2 linked regions of the Struthio camelus genome follow. The protein of the gene in region 2 purifies or fractionates together with the protein of the main gene of each other region. This does not show direct contact. Links are inferred from orthologs where the notes say so. Each region holds a gene or a part of one and is shown on either strand. Other genes may lie near its edges.

Region 1 (10,155 bases), on a different chromosome or scaffold from region 2:
CCAAAGACCCAGGTTGGTAAACTGGGAAGAATGAAGCACTGCTCTCACAGACTCCAGAAAGCCGAGGAGGTTTTTGCTGAACAGTCTTCAGAGTCTTCTTTGACCGCTTGGAGGATTTGATCTTTCTTCGACAGAACCACGCGCCAAGGTATTGCTTTGGCCAGCGTGCACTTTGTGAGCCAGAGAGGAGGTATTTACAGACAGATGTTTTGACACAGCGAAGTTTTTTCTGCAAGCTTAAGGGGAGGAAGGTACACAAAACATTACTTGAGCAGCTGTTAAAAATAGGTTATTTGATGTTTTGAGAGATTTGGTATTAGCCTTCTCTACCATTTTCCTTATCGTACCTTGGAGCTGCAACAGGGCATTCAAAAGCAAGCCAACGCTCCTTACGCTATATAATAGTTACCCATTAGACACACACAGTTTAAGGTGCGTGTTCGTCCTCCCTCTTAGTTATGTACTCATACATTTGTTAACGTTTTAAATCCTTTCCCAAGTGACTGATGCTAAACAATGTATTCCTGTCAGAATGCCTAGCGGCCAGAACTGTTGATCCTGTTTAAATTAAAAAAATGGGTAACACCACTGCATCTCCCTACACCGTAGCAAAATACACATTATTAAAATATGAAGTATGAGACCAAGAAACACCACACCCATGTAAAGTTACCTGCATCCTTGAGCCTCCACATGGTGCAGCCGGTTGCTTTTCAGTAACTTGTTACGCAGAAAATAAGCTTCTGATTTGAGTTTGTTGCCTTTGCACCACGGAATAGCTTTTCTGAGTGCCTCTGACAGTTCCCCGAAAGAGGTAGCGTTTTGAAACATCGGTACAAGAGATCTAGTATGCTGTGATTTTGCTATACGAGAACAAAGTGACACTGACTCTGCTTTAGAAGGTGTTGAAATGATGCTTAAATCCTGAAACAATGCGCAAAATGGAAGTAGTTAGCCTTTTAAAAACACAACACACCTGATCCTCTGTTGGAGGGAAGCAGAGCATTTGAGTTATTTGTGACAGCTTTCTTTATAAGGAGCAAGTGGAAGAGCAGTCTTGTTTACTGGAATACCAAAAGAGGCAGACCATTAAAATTTGTATTTCTGTCTACCACTGACTTGCTCTTGTGTTTTCACTTGTATTTCCCCTCTGTGAAATAAAGAATAAGATACCAATACGTGCTCAAACTCATAAAGAAAAGATTAATAGTGTTTTTCAATGCAACACTTCCGTGCTGACCTGACCGGTCAAAAAAGCCAAACTGAGGAAAACACAGCTAGTGCTTTAGCAGTAGGCATTCTAGGAGGGAGGGAGGGAGGGAGGGGACGACACATTTTCAATCACAAATGTCACATTTTGAGTCTAAGAGTCTTTTAAAGTTATAAAAAATGGTGTAAAATGGTGCCACAAACCTCTTGGGCTGGACCTCTGGATGGTCTAAGCAAGCTCTTCACATCGAACTCCAGGTGCTTCCCTGCAGCGAGAGAGAGAGCTGCCATTATGAAATGAGGACAGGCTCAAGTCTTCCCTGAAGCGTTTTGCTGTTGTCAGCAGCCTCATACCTGCATACTCAACACTTCTGGTCCAAACAGCAATGGAGGGGAAGGGGACTACACTCATCTCATGTGACCACTGACAGGGGATGAAGAGGATTTAGTGAGTTACAGATGGCTGTAAAGGAGACTTCCATCAGGGAAAGCCTCACACAAGCAGCTGGATGCCTGCGGACACTGGCCGTACCCCATGACTGCTTGGGGACAGCCCAAAACTAGCAGGCACAAGACACAAGCACATAAGAACTACAGACAGTTCTCTTAGCTTCCCTCACTCTCCTTGGGCCCGTCTTTAAAGAGGCAGGAAAACACTAATGACTATATACAGGATCTATTTACTGTACTCGTTACAGCAACACTGACATCATCTACAGCTTTGTAAAGACACAGGTACATGAGAGCATCCTCCTTGTCCAAGGACGGAAGAGGGGAGTTTGTACCGGGACCAAACTCTGTGGGTGGCAGTAGCACTTGGCTCTGTTGGACAGATGTTGGGGTCCGTGGCAGTTTCTGAGGTGCCAGAGACCAGTAGCACTGTGGCACAGTGCTTTACCTCTGCTGGCTCTGGTAACCAGAACTGGCTCTCCGATGTCTGTAGGGCACGGGATGCTCTTGTTTTCCACAACACTTGCGCAGGTCGCCAAATCTCTCTTTTTCCTGGCCTCTGATGCTGCCTCTGGCACTGCTGGGAAGAGCTTCTTCAGCCAGCTGGCACTTTTTGCGGCTGTAAGTGTTTTGGCCTTTTTTTTCTTCACCTCAGAAGAGAGAGAAACTCCAAGAAAGTCACTGATGTCAGAAGGGAAGGTAAATCCCTTGATATAAGGCATCTGTTGGGTCTTCGACACGAGATGCAGTGTTGTCGACAACACCTCGTATAAGGAAATGAGGCTCTGCAATACACACCTGTACTGAATCCTGAGGAGATAAGATCGAACAGTATGGAGGCATCTCTAGCAAAACCCTCATAGCTTGTGCTCACTAAATGACTACCTTCAGCTTGAGAGAAGGAGCTGATGGAACAGGTTCCAAGAAGCCCTTTCCCTGTTCCCCCTCAATACAAGCTTTTTCTTTTGCGCTCCATCACCACATTTTCCTTAATATTAGTCTGAGCTCCTCATGTCGACGTGCCCTCCATCTTTAAGGCAACGTTCAAGTTCAGAGCACAGGACTCGTTCAACTAATAAGCCGTGTTTGGGAGCCCCTCCACTTCCCTAGAGCTTCGTGGAGTGCCGCACCGGGCACTCAGCAGGTTCCCAGGTCACACCTAAATCATTCAACAGGAGGTCTTCCCAAAAAAGCAGTGCGTACCAACTCAGGACAACTGTGCTAGCACTGATGCCCACGTGGTCTCCTGCTCCATAATAACTGGAGAAGGACAGATTTCGTGTGCCAAACGCCGTTACTGAGTTCTTGTGCACAACGCTTATTTCTTCAGCTACAGACAGCAGTTACTTGCTCAGAGCTGCTCTGCAGGACTGAGACAGACTGGAACAATGACTTCCCTGGAAAACTCAGTAGTAATATATATAGAACAGCTTTATCTCAGCCTTTCCATTTCAGCACGAGGCAAGTCTTATTGCTCACTGCAAAGAGTACCAGGTGGTAGTGTTTGTGGCAGGCTGGCATTAGCGCTGGTTTTATTAGCGCTACGTAAAGTTTGCAATGAACTGAGTACAAAGCCTTCCAAAAGGGCAAGCAAGAAGTCTCCAGTTATACAACCCTTCAGGTGCTAGAATCAGGTCCAAAGGGATGGAAGGACTTCTAATTCCCCAGATCCTTCCCCCACCTCCCAACTGAATAAAGCTCACTCAGCAGCAAGGCCTAATTACAAGCCCTTCTACCTGACAGGCATGTCAAACAGACAGAGACTGTGTCAAACAAACAAGAGACACTTGAAAACACAAACCATAGCCGGCTCAACAACCCTGAAGCCACAGTGTTCAAAAGTATGAATTCTTCTGAGCAGAGATGTTTAACTGACAAGCTGAAGATTACACCAGTTAAGGTTAAAAAACAAACAGCATGTAATGAGACTTGTTGAACACGCCAACTCGAGGCAATTCACAAGGTAATATCCTGGATAATTTGGCCAAACTTTGGGTTGCTCGAGGCCAGAACAGCAGCCAGCCAACAGCCTGAGGTTCTTCCATAACAACTTAAAAAGATGCTGTTTGGCTGTCAAGGAAACTCCAGCAACATGAATTGCATGGTTGAGTCCATCAGCAATACACGGCCTACAGCAGATCTGGCCTCATGAGGTGCTTCTGGTGATCTGTAAGAATGCTTTTACGGGGAAAAAGGATACAGAAATGCTTTGCAGCAACAGTCCAGCAGACGCAGTAAGAGCTTGCAACCTCCCAAAACCTTCACAGCAACTGTTTCCATCATAGGCTGGCTGGGAACGAAGCACTCCCCGTGGGCGTGGGGTTTATTTTTCCTGTGTCGATACAAGGATGAGGAGATGGTTATGATCTGGCGTTTCTAGCCTTTTCTCCTTTAGCTCTGAAGACAGAGTTAACGGGTAGCGTAACACACAGGGTCACGATACTTACTTGGGAATGAGTCCGGCCAGGGTTTCAATGCAACCCACCAAGTTCATTTTCCATAGGCGCTTCAAGCACTGCTCTACCTAAAGAAAAAGAAAAATTCCTTTGGCTCACGTTTTGACAGATGAGAGCTCCTTGGCCCTAAGGACCACCTTTAAGCGAAGCCACCCCTTCTTCCCCTTGTCAGTTTAGTGGTACGGCCACTGGATGGAAACGCGACCCCCTCCCCACCCCGGGCAAAGCCAGCGCCGCCGGACCCGCCCCACAGCTGCCGGGCGGGCACACGGGGCCCCGGCGCTGCAGCCCCGAGGCGGGCGATCCGCCCCCCGCCGAGCGCGCCCCCCCGGGCCGCGGCCCCCTTACCTGCTGCAGGGCCAGGAAGGGCCGGTGCCGCCGCAGCCTCCGCTGGTGGACGTAGAGCACGGCGCGCAGCACGCGTCCCTCGGCGCCCAGGGCCGGCCCCGACAGCCGCTCGCCGGCCGCCTCGCACCGCCGCCGCAGCGCCGGCAGCCACCGCACTGCGGGGCGGCAGGCGTCGCCTCAGCGCCCGCCGCCGCCGCCAACGCCCGCCAACGCCCGCCCGCCAACGCCCCCTCCCCCCCCCCCCCCGCGCGCGCGCGCGCGCGACCTGCAGGGTGTTGGCCCGGCAGGGCCACCGTCGCGCTGCTCGCGGGCCACGGCACGTCCAGCCGGTTCCACGCTGCCTCGGGCGCCGCCATCTTCCCCAGCGTGCGGCGGAGCGGGACGGGGCGGGGCGGGGCGGGGCGGGCGGAACCACGCTGTGGCGCTGGGCGGGAGGACGGGCGGAACCACGCTGTGGCGCTGGGCGGGGGGACGGGCGGAACCACGTCGCCGCGGCCGAGGGGCGGGCGCAGCGAGGCCTCCCGCCGGCAGGGGTGGGGGGAGGGCGGAGGCCGGTGCCTGCCTCTGGCGGGCTGCGCGTCCAAGACGTCCGAAGACGAGAAGCCAGAACAGAGCCGAAACGACAGAGCGTTCTGGCCGCTCTGTGGACCGCACGGCTCCGGGGCCCGCCTCGGGAGCGCGGGCAGTTCGCCCTGCGGCCCCCTCAGGGCGGCGGCGGCGACCCCGCTCTTCAGGGCGGTTGTGCCTGTCACGGGCTGCCCGACTGCTCCCTCCCGCCACGCGCCCCCGGCTCCCCAAGCGCAGAAGGACTCGCACCAGGAGCCATTAGCAGCCGCGTTTTGACCAAGGAGGGGCCCCTTTCCCCCCGCAGCCTTGCCCGGGAGCTGCCCTCCCACCAAACGACCGTCCGGCCCGCGTGGAGCCGGCTGCGCTGCTGCTCCCCGCCTGGGCTGTCAGTGTTTGTTGTCTCGGGGCCTGAAGGCCGAGGCCAGGCAGGAGCCTGGAGAGCTCTGCAGGAGCCCTGCAGAGTTAGTTGCTGTTATGTCTTGGCGCTGGCAGCCCTGTTCCCCATCAAACTGCTTTATTTGTTACGGTTTTCCAAGGGGGTTCTTCTCCCCCGAATATAAGACATTATTTCCTGCTTGCCTGAAGTTGGCCTGACTCGTTGTTAACCTGCAAACAATAGTACTCCCCTTAATATATTTGTTAGAGTCAATGAATTTCAAAAGCCCCGCCTTGTCATCTTTTTAGATTCCGCTTTGTTACGTATTTTCCATCTTTCAGAGAGGCTTGTATAAACACCTGGTAAAGAATGGTGTCCCTTTAAAAAGGTAGAGCAAAATTGGCTTTAATGATCACACCTGAAGGGAAGAGAGTGAGTGAGAGAGCAAACATGCAGGCAGAACTGATAAAAGGCTGCAATGAGCCCTTGCTTGTGTTGGTAAGGGGGTGCTAAGCTCTCTGGGCTCAGAGCAAGGCCTAGGAGATGCTGGGTGAAGGTAGAAATGGAGCCTTTGCAGTGTGAGTGGAGGGTCCCAAAGGTGTCTCTCGCAGAGATTCTGAGGTGCTTTGAACATCCTGTAAGTGAGGAACAAGCCTGGGCTATTTGCTTTCAGTGCTGCTCTAAAATGGAGCAGTTGGCTCAGGGGCTGCACCCGTTGCTCCATGCTGTTGTCATAAAAGGTCCTGGGAGCGTCTTTATCCATGCTGATGGCACTGCTTCCTTCAAGGTGTATCAAAAGTCTGGTAAGAACATGGACAGCTGTAAATGCTAGGGGTTGTTCCCATAACTAGCTCTTCACTAGCTAAAATAGGGGGACATGCGGCTGTTCTCCTCCCTGTACCCTGTTTAAAAGGACTTTAGGTGAGTGGTAATGTGTATGTGCAGCTTACTAATTTTTCCAGTGCTCCTCCTGTGAATCGTGGTTCTAGGGAATAGCTGAGATGAGAGTCTATTACCACTTATGTTATTTGAAATAAATAATCTGAGGCTTTATAAGTCCTGTGCTGCTCATCTTCTAAGGTATGGTTCCTTTCCTGTAGTGACTTTCACAATAAATATATGATTGACAGAGACCCTTTTTGTGACCGTGTGAAGCTAGCAAGCAGCAACAAGCTGCTTCTCTTATGTGTTCCCACTGCTGCAAAGCTCAGTGTGAAGCTGACTCCTTGAGAGAAACTTCAGGGGCAAGAGTGGGTATTAAGGAATGAAGACAAGGAAGACCCATCCTCTTTCTTGAGGTTGGATATCTACTAGCAAATACAAAGAAGTATCCAGCAGCAGTTAGTTAGCAGTTTGTGCTAATGCTCCCAGTAAATAGAAAGTGCATCTTGTGCTGCTCTGCAGGAGTCCCCAAGTGCAGGTCTAGGTTCCCCAGCTGGGACTGATCTGAGTCAGAGGGATTTGTTTCCTCATTACCAAGAATTCTCCCAGATATTCTAAAAGCTGTTTATCAGTCCCTATGCAATTATCTTTTTAGCCCTCCTCTCCTCTTTCCCTTTTAGATGTTGGCAACGCTCAGGAGTTAGAGCACAAGGTAAGCCCATGTCTTCAGCTTCATACATGTGCCAATATAATCCTGCTTGTCTCCTGCTGTGGTAGAAAGCCATCTCAGGAGACAGTTTTCTAGGTGTTGAAAATTATCACAGTGCTTATATTTCTTGCGAAATATTTCTCGGGTGAGTAGAGGCCTGTGGAAGTGACTCTGTCCCCTGCAATGTGGAAAAGGAGATAAAACTCTGAAACCAAACTCAACTAAGACCATGGGACTGGGAAATGGTGTGCACAGAAGATACTGCTGACTATGGGTTAGCCCACCCGCTTTGTCTTAAAAACAGATCATCACTTAAAGGTGCTAGATAGGACCGTTTAACACCTAAAAACAGCTTTATTTGGGGAGTATTTCCAGCTAGCTGATGGGCACCTAGCTGCCTTTTGAGCTCCTCTCATCCTGAGAGAGGTGCTCAGTCACGAGGGGCACATGTGGCTGGTGGGCACATGTGAAGGGGCACATGTGGCTGGGAAGCGAGAGCTCTGATGTTCTCCACAGCACTGTGCTGCACTGCTCTGAGACTGCGTCCTTGGCCTGTGTCCGCAGCTGCTGGAGTACTTGGGAGTGGTGATCTATGAAGCTCTGGACTGGGGAATTGACAGTCAAGCAGAGCGAGAACTGAGCGAGCCCTTGGAGAAACTGCTCTCCCTCATGCTGAAACTGGACGATGAGGCGATGAAACTGGCACTCACCCTGCAGGATGTTATCAAGGTTTCCTTCCTCCCACTTAGTAAACGCAGCAGCTTTAGAAGAGTTGATGGAGCAATGCTGTTAATGAGCGGGCCCAACAATTTTCAGGGAAAAGCTGGGTAGTTTAGAAGACATATAGGGCAACATGTGGCTTTCCTATCAGATGGGAAAGGAAAATCACCTTAAGTGCACTGAAGTTTCTATGGCAAAAAGTTAAAGAAGACTGAGCATGGCTCTCATGCAGCTGTGTCTACAGAGTTCTTCTGTACATAGCCTTCTGTAGCTGTACTTTTGGGGTGTGGACAGAGCAACTCTCATTAAGCCCTAGTTTTGAAAACGACTTGTCATAGCCCCAGTCCTATACTGAGTCTTGTGTCTAGACTACAAGATCACCTACAGGACAAGATATATGTAACTGCTTATAGGCAGCATAACCACCAGAACACTTGTCTCATAGGTATGAAATCCTACCTTTGGAGGCTATAGGTAATTAAAAAAAGTTGCTTCTCCACAATATTCAGTTTCTGAAAGACCAGGGAGTTGAATGTCACAATTCAAACTAGTAGTTTGCTCTCACGTGTAATTTCAAAGTACCATAAACTCCCCATGCCCCAGTCTCACCAGCACGGAGAGTGAGGGTGGGGGAAAGACCAGGACAAGTGTCTCCCCTTGCTATGTTTTGTCATGCCTTGTCTAGTGGAAGCTTCCCCTTCCAGGTACTTATTTAAAAGCAGACCTTATGGAGAACAAGATGTATAAATTACACAGCAACTTACGTTACTGTACATACAGGATCGGGCATCTTTCCTTGTTCCTCTCCATCTGCAAAAGAACAAAAAAAGAGGCAAAAGGCACGAGGAAGATGATTTTTTTTTTTTTTTAACCACAGATTGATGAAATTGAATCTTGCTTTCTTCCAGCCTACAACATTTTTCATTTCAAGGAGATCGTGTGCTCTCAAATAGCTGTTCTCCTTTCAGATTTGTGAGGAGCACCTGTCCAGGCCTTCTGAGGCTGCCAGCCATTACAAGATGACCTGCAGGAGTCTTTTTGCTGAATATATGGAACTTCAGAAGCTTGTGTCCATCATCCAGATTTCCAAAGAGGTATTTTGATCAACACTTAGCTGCTATCCCTTCTGCCTCCACATGTTCACCTAGTTCTACAGAAATCTTCCCTTTGCACTAGAAATGTAATATGTAGCTGAAGGTCTATTTCCATTATGTGAAAGGTTTCTGTCTGCACCAGATTAATTTATTATAGCTTTTGAATGTTTGGAGGCGGATTTGGCTTCTCGACTTTTCAGGTTAGCATTGATAACTCGGACTGGGTAGATAGGAAAGTGCTGGACAAGCACAAGGTAATGACGACCTTGTGTGCTCACTTCTTAGAGTCTGAGAAAAATGGACATGGAAGACTTGCGGGAAAATCCCCTTCAGAAGAAGGAAAAATACTGGGTAAGGGATTTAATTCTTTCATTGTGGAGGGGTGTGGGGTTTTTTGTCTTCCCTGGCTCTCTGAGGCTTTCCAGTGACTCCTCTATGAAAAACAGAGCTTAAGCACACACAAACAAAACCACTTAGGTTGTTCAAGAGCTTAAGTAGTTAAAGACTTGTCTGTAAAACAAGCTGGGGAGTGAACTTGAAGTTAACTACCGTTAAATGTGTTTACCTCATGTGGACACTTATTCTGCACAAAGACACTCTTTGTGGTTCAACTGAAACCACTTCTAAAAGTGAAATTGGAGGCATTCTTTGTGGAGTAAGTGTCCACAAGTAGTTATTCATGCTGTTTCCTCCGCTAAAGGAGCCCCAAACTCTTGGCAGGAATTGATACCTGCTAAAAGCAGTCTGCTCCTTTGTGTAGTTTAACTGGCATCTCCTGGAAAACTGTTCTGTTGGTGGTAGCACTGAGGTGGACTAGTCCATGCCTATCATGTGGGCTCCAGGCTGGTTCAGGGCTGGAGGAGGCTAAAGACGAATAGATCTTTGGCTGTGCAGCTCCAGCAGTCCGAACAAAGGGGTGAAGGACGGGGAGGCTCCCACCTTCTGCTTGCTGCCATTTCTTGTCCATCCCTTCTGTCCTCCTTGGACAGTTCTTGGACTGTGTGTTTGGGGCAGAGAAAGCGACTTCTTCTATTCTCTCTGTAGCCTTGCACAATCAGGGCTCCATCAGAAACAAATAGCTCTTCTGGCTGGAGCTCTGCCCAGCATAAACAAATGCACTGTAGTCTGGAGTCTGTGGAGACAAACGGCAAGCCCCGAGAGACTTGTGGACTTGCTCCCTTTGTCTAAATAGCACTCGCTTTGAAGCGTGCTCAAACTATTTGTATGAAAATGTTTGTGAAATGTGTGTTTGGGCATATTCTCAATTTTGTGATCTATTAAAATAAACTGGCAAGCTGTCTCAAACCACAAACTCATCAACTGCTCTAGCTCTTTTCTGCAGGG
Region 2 (10,699 bases):
AGATCTTTATTCGAAGTGTAAAAACCATTCTTTACAAAGCATTTTGATCTAGCGCCTCTCCCCAAATCACGAATAGACCATGAGCTCCCACCCCACCATCCTGCATGTGAGGATGCAGCCTGGGCCCTGGTTTCACATAACACTTCTGACTGTATAAAAACCATCAAGCTGTATGAAAAGAAAAGCAAACATCTGAAGATCTCAGTGAAACTGTCCTCCACCCCGGCTGTACATCCAGCCCTGGGAGAAAGTGCCAGGACTGGGCATTTCAGAGCCAGAAGGACAAGGGTGCACAGAGCAGAGGTCCAGAACAGCAGAAAGGCACAGGGCAAGGACTCCCTCAGCCAGGCCTGACTCCCAGAACAGAGAGGAGGGAGAGGGGAGATACCACCAGCACCAACTCAGTTTTGGGATCAGCCTCCTAGGGCCATGGGAGAGGGGCCTCCCCAGTACTGGCAGCAGCTCCTGCCCCTCACCCCCAAAAAAAGTTACAGCAAAAAGCAGCAAAAGTTGAGGTCCTGGCAAGAGGTGTCCGAGGTAAAAGTCATCCCAGGGAGAGTTCCAGCAAGTACCTGGGGAAGGAAGAATCAGACTGAGACCAGCAGCCTCCTGCAGTGGTTCCCTCTCCGCACCACCACTGCACAGTAGGACAGCTTCCACCCATGGCATTTCCCATGGCAGCATCACTGGGAAACTTCTTACAGGGCTGCCCAGCCCCTCACCTTGCTAGGAGGCCAGTTATTGCTTCCCTCTCTGCTTCTTGGCTGGCATGACAGGAGTAATCTCCTCCTCAGACATGTCGTCGTCCTCCTCAAAGGAGGCATCCTCCCTGTGCGCTGGGACACACAGATAACTGTTACCCACTTCTGCAAATATAGTTTGCCCCCAAGACACTCGAAGAGAAGAGCAGCCCAAAGAGCTCATGGGCAATAGACCATGCCCCACCTGGAGGAACATCTCAGATGGGAACGGTGACAGAAAGGTGTGGGAAAAGCAGACAGCGTGGGTCAGTGTGGGAAAAGCAGACAGTTTCCTGGTCAGGGCTCAACACCAGGGAGACGATCCCTGGGGAACCAGCACAAAGGGGTAGGAAGAGGCACTGAGTACACGTGCTGAGCAGCACCAAGGTACATCGCCCCCAGGGAGAGGGGGCATCCCCACAGGTGTTAGTGCTGGGGAAAGCCCCTTCATACCCCTCACTCCTCCCGAGCCTCTCCCCACACACAGGTCCTTACTGATCTGGTGCCAGCCAGCGAGGTGCACGGGGCCAGAGCCTGCCACCAGGCGGAAGGTCACTGGAGGCTGCAGCTGGAAGTTGTCCAGACTTAGCTGCAAAGAGACAGAGGGAAGGAGCTGTTAGTGGCAGAAGCAATAAGCAGAATGTCCTGCACTGCCCAGTAGGGCACACAGCCCTGTTAAACATGGCCTTAGCTTGGGCAGAAAGTGGGGTGGCAAGGGTGCTGGTGCCCTACAATAACCACAGGAGAAGTGAGGGGAGCAAGGGCACAGTTTGGTCTCTGAATTGTCCACCTAGAGATCAGGGAGAGAAGATAGAGAATGATGCCCCCCAGCCCAGACCATACCCCTCTGCACCTCCTTTTCCCAGCCTCCACCATATCTTATCACTACCGTTATCTACCAGAAACAATTATCTCTGTATCCCATGCAAACATTTGGTAGGATGAATCTTCTGTACAAGCCACAGAGCTGCATTGCTACCCTCATCAAAGGCAAACGGGCATCACAGAGACGGCAGGTCACCAGGCTTCAGTCCCACGAGGCTGCCCCACAAGATGCAGGGGCTGGGAGACCTGGAGCCAGGACCAACTCCACAGAGCCCAGCAGCAGCATGTGCAAACACCGGGAGGCTCGGGGGGCACCTGCAGCCGGGCCACGGCTTCTTAGGGCATTTCCCAGTGAATTACAGATCAGCTCATGGTCCTAGGAAAAAGGTTTACAAATATCCAGAGATGTCCAGTCCCCTGCAGTCATCCCTGCCTGGGTGCTCAGGATATCCTCTTACCAAGGGCTGGCATGACAACCTCAGATTCGCCACAGGTACAGCGATCTCCTGGTTCTCGTGATTTCGCCCAACAACCTCCACCACGTTGCACTCGTCCTTGGCACCATCTGTGAGGCAGACCTGGGAGGGAGCAGAGATTGTGAATTACTGCTCTCCCAGGGGACTAAGCAGGGACGGTTGGGGCTCTCCTTGGGATAAATGACCCACAGCAATGCTACCAGCCTAGCACCTTTGTAAGGACTGTGTGCAGACACTGCTACTTAAAACGGCAAGTCATGGGACATGAACCTTTGTTGCACAAAGGCATAGACTGGCTGCTGGCAAATTCCTGGGAGAGCACAAAATTCCTCCCTGCAGCAATTGCCCCTTTACCGCCAGCTGAGGAGCTCTGTGCCTGGGATAGTTGTTCCTGCAGCTGCCTCGAGAGGCGGCACCTGGGCTGCGTTTTCTGTTGATCCATGCTGGCAGTTCCTGCACTCCCAGGACAGACAGCGACCCCCAGGGAGAGCCAGGAAATACATTAACAAAGCCCTGAGTCTACCTGGGCTTTGAGAGCAGCAGGCTGGAGACCCAGCTCCACGGGTCTCCATGTTCTGCTAGGAGGGCCCAGCAAGGTCTAACACCTTCCTTCACGCTGTGTCCAGAGGATTCCCCCTCTGAGCAGCCAGGCTCACGCACCTTCATACAAGGCTTATAAGCACCAGTCCTGCACCCTGCCCTCGGGGCAGCCAGTGCAGAGACCTCAGTACAGGAACTGCCTGGTCCAGGCCTCCAGCCGAGGGGGAGTGAGCCCAGCAAGGAGGGGTGAGGTTGTGGGCTGCCAGGGAAGAGGACAAACACAGCTAATTCTCATCTCTCTTACCACAGACAGAGCCAAAACGTGCTCGGAGTCATCCTCCTCATCCACCTTAAACGTGTAGGATTTGGTACTGCCAGTCAGCTCACAGCCTGGAAACAGAAGATTAGAAAAGCTGAAGTAACAGCTTCACAGCCCAGACGCAAGGTTCCCAGGGCGAGTCCCAGCCCAGGGCCAACAGGCACGTGGCATCCCTGAAACACGCTTGTTTTTAATGCTCAGGAGCAGCCTCGGCCTCAGGGTAAAGTGCCATGGAGTACCATATACCCAGCACAGCACCCTACGGGGGCAAACCCTGACTCCCCAAAACTGAGCTGCTACAAGAACAAGGACAACACAAAGTTACATCTTCTGCTCTTATGATCAGGATTCTGCTGGCCACAGCCAGGAGAGAGAGGCAAAACGCCCTGGGTGTGTTTGCTCATTGCAGGATGAATCACCAATGTGAAGCAGACAGGAAAGACGCAGACCTGAGCCCTGTGTACCAGACACGGCATTTGCAGCGGAAAGAGAGGCATTAGCCGTGCTTATGCACTCTGCTCGGCCGGGCAAGGAATGAAAAGCCAGGCGCGGAGCAGCCCGCGGGGATCGCTCGGCTTCCCTTGCGCAGCGCACGTGGGCCGGGCCGGCTGAGACGATGCGCGTTGAAAACAGCCACGGAAACACGCGCGCACACCCGCCTGCCTGCGCACACGTTTGCGAGTGAAGCAGGGCCACGTGTCGCAGGGGTTTAAGAGCCGCCGCAGGAACCACTCCCCAGGAGGAGGAGGAGAGAGAGAGGCTGGCGCTGCCTGCCGCGGACACCCGCGGAGCGCTGACGCGGCAGCGGAGCGGCTGAACCGCGGCAGCCGGCAGCAGGGCCGGCCGTCTCCCCCCCGGCCCCGCGAGTCACCGCCGCGCCCCACGCGGTCCCTCCAGCGCCGCCGCCACGTGCCTCCCCCCCCGCGCCCGGCCATACACGTGTCCCTCCGCCCGGGCCGTGTGGGTCGCCCTCTCCCCCCCCAAGGGCGCTCTCCCGCTGTCCCGGCCCCCCAGGTGTCTCCCCTCAGCGTCCCAGACCCCTCAGCTCCATTATCCCCCCCCCGGGGCTCTCTAATGCCCCCCACGTGTGTCCCCAGTGCCCCTCACGTCTCTATTACCCCCTCCGGGCTCTCTAACGCTCCCCTCCCACGTGTCTCTCCCCAACTTCCTACATTTTCTCTTAATTGCCCCCACGTCTCTCTTTTGCCCCTCACCGTGTCCCTACTGCACCCCACGTGTCTCTCTCCTGCCCCCATAGCCCCCCACCTCCCCCGCGCGCCCCTTCCCCGCCTCCGTCCCGGCCCCCTGTCGCTCCCCCAGCTCCGTTTCCCACCGTGTCCCTCTCTCGCCCCGCCAGGCTCTGTCAGCCCCCCGCTGCCGCTCACCGAAGAGGACGCTGCCGGGCCCGTGCGGCTCCATGAGGCGGCGAGGGCAGGGAGGGAGGGAGGCAGTGAGCCGAGCCGAGCCGTGCCGAGCCGTCCCGCCCCGGGCCCGCCCCCGCGGCCGCTGCCGGCGCCCCGCCCCGCCCCGGGGCGCCCCCACCGCGAGCCCCCCCCCCCGGCTGCGGGCGCTGCCGCCGGCTCGGGATGCCGAAAGCAAAGGGCGCTACCTCCTTGCGCGGGTCCTTTCGAGAGGGTCTCGCTTGATTGAGTAGCCGTGCGGAGAGGGGGCGTATCTGGTGTAATGTCATATTTATCGTGTTTTATTTCCTCGCAATAAAACCGGAAGGGTTATTACCCCAGCGGGATCCTAATGACTTTTCCTGGTAACTGGCCTCTTCCATCAGAAGATTTTTCTGAGGGGGGAGGCAGGAGGGGGGACACTGGAAGGCAAGAGGACCTGAAATTGCTGAGGATGGTGAGCAGCCCAAAAGCCACCCTGGAGATGAAAGACACCACTGCATCCCTTAACTGCAGGTCTCCTTCCTGTCCTGGGCTTTCAGCCAAGCAAGAGCTTCTGCAGGCTCCGGCGCTCGCGCTCGGCAGGGCAAGGCCTCTCACGACCATGCCGCAGTCTATGCTGGGCCACGGTATGGAAACAACTGCGGTTCCTTCCTGCCGCCCGCGTGTCACCCTTCTCGTGGGCATCTCCAGCACACCGCCTTCGCTGACAGCAGGGCAGATACAGAGGGCAGGGGCATAGCCAGGATGGCAGAAGGCTCAGCAGATTAAGGGGGGTATCATTAGCTGAGCAGGGGATAACTGAGACAGCAGCGTGGGTGTGGGGGGAGGGACTGGCTCATCTCTATTCCCTTAAGCATTGAACAAGGATGGCTTGATCTCAGACCCAGGGGACGGAGGTACACGAGTCTTTCAAGTCCATGAAGAAGGGAAGGCAACATTCTGCTTCAAATCAGCAGGGAGCACAAAGCCAGAGTTGCCTCTCAAAGCAAAAGGGGAAGCAGCCGGGTCCTTGCTTCAGTGGGGAGCACACAGGGTTGCATTGAAACAGAGCCCTCTCAGGGGGTGAGCTCGCACCGCACGCCTGGCTGGAAGCCTGCTCTGCTCCCCTGGCAGAGGAGGACTCCTCCAGCCGGCCAGTTCTTCTCTTCCAACTGGAGCCGATTCAACAGCAACACGACTGAAGAGGTATGAAGAGCGCAACCTGGTCCCAGAAAAGGGCTAGAGTTCACTCGCTGATGGTTATACAAGAGGACCTAGGATGTCTGCAAACTCATTTGCTTCTGCAGTAGCTGCTCTCCGCAGCCATCTGGCCAGCTGCAACGCCTTAAGTACACGCGCTGTCTGCAGCCTCACATCCCAGAGCAAAGGAGGCAAGAGAGCCAATTTCAGCTTTACATTCCCTTAAAGAAAAAGTTCCCAGATCAACATCAGAGGCCACAAACCTGTCTCCCAGGCTGAGATGAGAATTGCAAGGGGTGCAGGTGGTATCTCTTTCCCTTAGAAGCTACCTAAGTCCTTCTACCATTAAGCTGCCAGCTACTATGCTGGCGAAACCTACCCACACCAAAGGATAGGAAAAACCCGATCCCCATTTGTAAGATGGGATGCAGCAACACCAAGGGAAAAGAGAGAGTTATGTCTATAAAAGTTTCTAAACTGCCGGCACAGAGAAGGCAAGTGGAAGCACTTCAGACTTGCAGACACAGAGCAGCTGGGTTTGTTCTTCTTGAACCTCTCCAAGAGCACTTTGTGGTACCGACCTCGCAGATTATGATGACTCTACAGCTAGCTAGCATAAACACTATGCTTCAAGCTGCCACTAAAATCCATTTGCATTTCTAAAGCATCGTTCTCCCAGTAGGAATCCTACAAACTGAAATATATATAAAAGAAACCTTCTTCCTCCCCACACCAAAAACAGTCAACAAGAGAAGGATGTAGCAACCACTTAAACCCCAGAGACCAAGATATTGTGGGAAAAATTGGAATGCATTGCAACACCCATCTGGGACAGCAAATCCCAAATCTCAGAATTTTGCAGCCTTTCAGGATCATCATTCAGGCACGATGTGAAACTAGGACCCCAGTACATTTTCTCCATAATGCAACCACGGTGCCAGAAGAATGGCTGATCCCTTACAGCAAAAGCCTTACCTGCTCTATATTGAAGGCCTACGGGAGAAGGCAATGAACACAGGAAGTCCGGTGTTTCCTGTCAGTGCACAATGAGGAAAACCACAAAGAATTAAATCCTCAAAGTTAAAGCACATCTTATGCCTTGAAACAGACAGTTCACTCTTCCTTCTGAGCGTGCCAGTTATTCTAATTGAGCAGATTAGTATGCTGTACTTTTAAAAAACGCGGTTATGACCATCCTCAGCAATACCCCAAGGCAAGGAGGTCTGTGTTTCACTGTTACCATCCCATACCAGTCAGGACTGACCCGCTCACAAAAAGGCTTTTCTTTGCAGCTCCCCTCCCTCCCAAGCTCCACTACCCGCATTTTCCCAGCAGTTCTGTGAGAACCTCACAGCTTGCATCACCTGAAGGAGTTCATGCTACAGCCTTGTTCCCTCTCATACCACTTGCCACAAAGTAGGGAACGTGGCACAGCTCTATTGCCTCACCTCTAATTTAAATGCTATTCCCCAGCCACTACTCTAACCCCTTCCCACAGTCATCCTCTTGTCTGCAAACATTGACTACAACCACTAACCCTCACCAGATGCATTCCTTTAACCACAGATGAAAACAGGTTCTGACCTAAGATCATATTTTTTATTTCCTTTTATTCTTGACTGTTTGCCACTATAAACTGCAACTCCACCACCACTCAGAAAACCCCAGAACATAACATGCTATTCTCCAGAAAGGGAATGATTTTATTTTATTTTTTTTTAAGCAGACAGCTCTAAAACTCAGACCAAGACCAGCTGCCTTACAGTTATTTTTGGCTTTAGAAATGTATTGTTCCTGGGACTGGAGATGCACAGAATTTATTAATTTCAGAAAGTATCGACATCATTACTCAAAGGTAACTGAAGCCCTTCTGCTAGAAAACTCACCTGGTGGGGACTATCCAAGTTCTTCAGGCCTGCATGCTAGATACACCTGAGCCCTTGAAAGGGAGCATTTGGTGCTGCTTGAAGTAAACAATCCTTGACATAGAAAAAGATCTACTCCATCTGGCCCCAAAATAATCAGTTGGCCACGAAGCTCCTTGCAAGGATTACACTTCCTACTTACCTGCCACCCCAATGTGCCTCAGAAAGACACCCATTTCCTTGAGGGAGCCACTAACTTCCCAGCATCTGGAGCACACGGTTTTGCCTTCTTCCAGCGTAGCTAAGCTCACGTGCCACCAGGATAGCCCAAGAGCTTGAATAGAGCTGTTTGTCTTTGGCAGCTGCCAGTTCCCCATCCGTGCTCACAGCCTGCCCTCCTTGTCCTGAAAGTCACAAAATACGCATAGGATTAATTTAAACTGTCCGTGCTAAGTCTATATAAAGAACTTGTTCTTGTCCACAAAGAACTCTCTAAGTCAACATAAGCGTTCACGTAGGATTAAACTAGCACAATAGACTAGCTGAAAAATTACACCCCCTCATACAGTTTACTTAATCAGACAAACCCTAAATATTCTGAAGAGACACACAGAGACCAAAAGCAGTGTCTCTAGTAGCTTTTTGTACAGCTATTTATTCCACAGCTAACAGTGGCAGTTTTTTTCCTACTTCCTCAGAGTAACTCAACTTGGCTACTGATGACAGACTGCAGTAAAGAGCTGATGGGTGAAATTAGCCTGGCAACACTTATTTGCAATGGAAAAGTCTCTTTCCCTTTGCGTTTAACTGAGCTTGGACAGTACACGCCGGGGCTCTGACAACTGCAGTTGTTTTAGAAGACCACTGTGCCACTGAAGTTATACAAGAGGACCTAGGATGTCCGCAAACTCATTTGCTTCTGCAGTAGCTGCTCTCCGCAGCCATCTGGAATGACACAGGCAACACAAAACATGAGCCTGAGCATCAACTGCTCTGGTTCACACCAGTGTCTTCACTTAAACCACTGATGAAGGGAGAGGACTGACCAGTAGAGGCTAGAGATCTGCTTTTTTTTAAATGAGCCAGGAAGCATGGCAAGATGGTTATAACAAACATCCAGAGGGCAGTGGTGTCTTAAATCAATGCAGCTTAGCAAAGCTTCACAGCTCTCATCCAAATCTGAAGGCTGGCATTTTCATTCGTTCCAAGACAGGTATTTTTGAACAATATTTGCAGCATCAGAGCAGTTTTGGTGAAAAGACTGGGGCAGAGAACGGGACAGACTACTGAATGTGGTAAGTGATTTCCTCACAGGCACAGGTAAGGCTAAGTAAGGGAGATTTCTTTGGCTCCATTTTCACTAAGGTCTCCTGGGCCTTTGTACCTAGAAACAGGGTTCAAGGAGAGGAAATTCCAGCGGAGAAGGGTCAAGTCAGAAATCGAGAAATCTCAACCCGTACAAGGCCACAGAATGCATAAAAGGATGCTGGGAGAGCTGGCCATCATCCCCACAAGGCCAGTCTCTAAAAGGTCACGAAGATCAGGGAGGTCCCCGATGACTGGAGAAGAGCAAAATGTATGCCTAACTACAAAAAGGGCAAAAATCCAAATGCCCCTGAGAAAGTCATGGAGCAAGTCCTCTGGGAAGCCATTTCTGGGTACATGAAGATGATGACTGGTAATAGGCAGCATAGATCTTCCAAGGGTAAATCTTGCTTGACCAACCTGATTGTCTTCTGCAATGAAGTGATTAAATCTATGGACAAGGGGGAGTGCAATGAATGTCCTTGCCCTCAGTAAGATTTTTGATATAGCATTCTTATATCCAAGCTGAGATCTTACAGTCTAGGTGGGTAGACTACCAGATGACTGGAAAAGCCAGCTAAATTGTCAGGCATAAGGTGTAGTGACTAATGGCTCCTGTTCTAACTGGAGCCTGGTTAGAAGTGGAGATCCTCATGGTCCATACCGGAACCTCTGCTGAAAACGAGCCAGCAGTGCACCCTGACAGTAATGAAAGCTAATAGCACCATCAGTCATATTAACAAGGACATACCCAATAGAGATCAAGATCAGTTATTTCCTTTCACTAGGCAGCTGTTAGACTGCATCTAGAATACTGTATCTGCTTTTGGACACCCCTGTCCTCCCCAGGTACATGAAAAATGTTGGTAAAATTGAGCAAGTCGGTCCAGAGAGAGTCATGCGAGGAGAAGCTGAGGGAAATGCACTTGTTTAGCCTGGGGAAGAGAAGGCTCAGGTACTGGAAGGCTACTGTTAGGTCTCCCCTAAGAAGGGGTAACAAAGGTGAAGCCAGGCTCTTTTTGAGATGCTCAGCAAAAGGATAAGATGGGCAAACTGAAATAGGCTCTGACTGGATATAAGGAAAAATGTTTTCCCCATGAAGACAATCAAGCAATAGAACAGGGACCTTCTGATTTTGGAGGTTTTTGAAGAGCTGACCAGACAGAGCCCAGAGCAACCCCTTTTGAATTCAGTGTTGATGCTGCTTTGAACAGGAGGCTGAACCAGATGATCACCCAGGGTCCCTTCCAATGAGCTGAAAGAGCTACAAGAGCATTTTAACATCTTTGATCTCTCGATGAAAAGCCATTTCCCTCCAGAAGAACATTGTAGTTACTGTACTGCACCACAGACCAGCTTGTGAGTTTTTGCACATCCCTGGAGACACAGATTTCTCACATATGCTCAATTCTAATAGAGCAGAACACACTGCTCTCATGACAAGGGAAAAAAAACATACATGCTATTAATTATAGTTACAATTACTAATTTGTAAAATTTCCTCTGTTGATGAGGCTTCTGTCTGCCAATACTTACCAAGATAGAAAAGTCTCAAATCATCACTGAACCAATTGAAGAACATTCATCTCAGTTTCCAAGCACCTCCCTTGCTCAGCATGTCTCTCTTCTTCAGTACTGCAAGTCCCCTCAAGGGTTGCGGCTGCTGCATTTAATCAAAACAGCCTCCCCATATTTCCAATCTCTTTTGCATGCTTATGTTTCTTCATGCAGCACACCTTGCAGAAAGGGCGTCAGCCAAGACCTTCCACTTTTTGCAGCTGGCTTGTTTTTGACACGGCCAAGGCATATTGCTATTTCTGCTGTAGCTTTATGAATTAAGTTTCAATAATACAAAGACCACAAGATGTAACTCATTACGATTTTGTGAAGAAAAGCTATTATTTTAGCATAGGGCGCATTTACCAGGATAGGAAGGCCAATATAAGCTTCTGAATTAAATAGCCAACATACTTCTACAGCAGGTGGATGGATGTTAAAGCCAATTTTGTGAACCAAATTTAGGAAAAAAGCTGCAGTTATTGAGCCT

The links. Proteins that work in one complex are often made in the same cells at the same time.
Region 1: the proteins of NPM3 (region 2) and NEPRO purify together in Homo sapiens (affinity purification with mass spectrometry; 4 studies listed by BioGRID and IntAct, with this or other methods). This does not show direct contact. The link is inferred for Struthio camelus from reciprocal best matches to the Homo sapiens genes NPM3 and RMP64.

The regions. Positions count from the first base shown.
Region 1 is NC_090942.1:96,834,686-96,844,840, reverse strand, and holds the start of NEPRO (nucleolus and neural progenitor protein), read right to left. Parts: upstream 4,916-10,155; 5' UTR 4,820-4,915; coding exon 4,729-4,819; intron 4,619-4,728; coding exon 4,464-4,618; intron 4,184-4,463; coding exon 4,107-4,183; intron 3,992-4,106; coding exon 3,860-3,991; intron 3,539-3,859; coding exon 3,461-3,538; intron 2,470-3,460; coding exon 2,108-2,469; intron 1,476-2,107; coding exon 1,414-1,475; intron 1,119-1,413; exon of another isoform or gene 925-1,118; coding exon 674-924; exon of another isoform or gene 237-673; coding exon 1-236. Other genes in the region: protein spire homolog 1-like, read left to right, coding at 5,969-6,209, 6,969-7,000, 7,562-7,726, 8,686-8,811, 9,097-9,162. UniProt on the Homo sapiens protein: May play a role in cortex development as part of the Notch signaling pathway. Downstream of Notch may repress the expression of proneural genes and inhibit neuronal differentiation thereby maintaining neural progenitors.
Region 2 is NC_090948.1:16,435,168-16,445,866, forward strand, and holds the start of NPM3 (nucleoplasmin-3), read right to left. Parts: upstream 4,406-10,699; 5' UTR 4,320-4,405; coding exon 4,286-4,319; intron 2,972-4,285; coding exon 2,886-2,971; intron 2,144-2,885; coding exon 2,024-2,143; intron 1,330-2,023; coding exon 1,236-1,329; intron 837-1,235; coding exon 739-836; 3' UTR 723-738; intron 573-722; 3' UTR 1-572. UniProt on the Homo sapiens protein: Plays a role in the regulation of diverse cellular processes such as ribosome biogenesis, chromatin remodeling or protein chaperoning. Modulates the histone chaperone function and the RNA-binding activity of nucleolar phosphoprotein B23/NPM.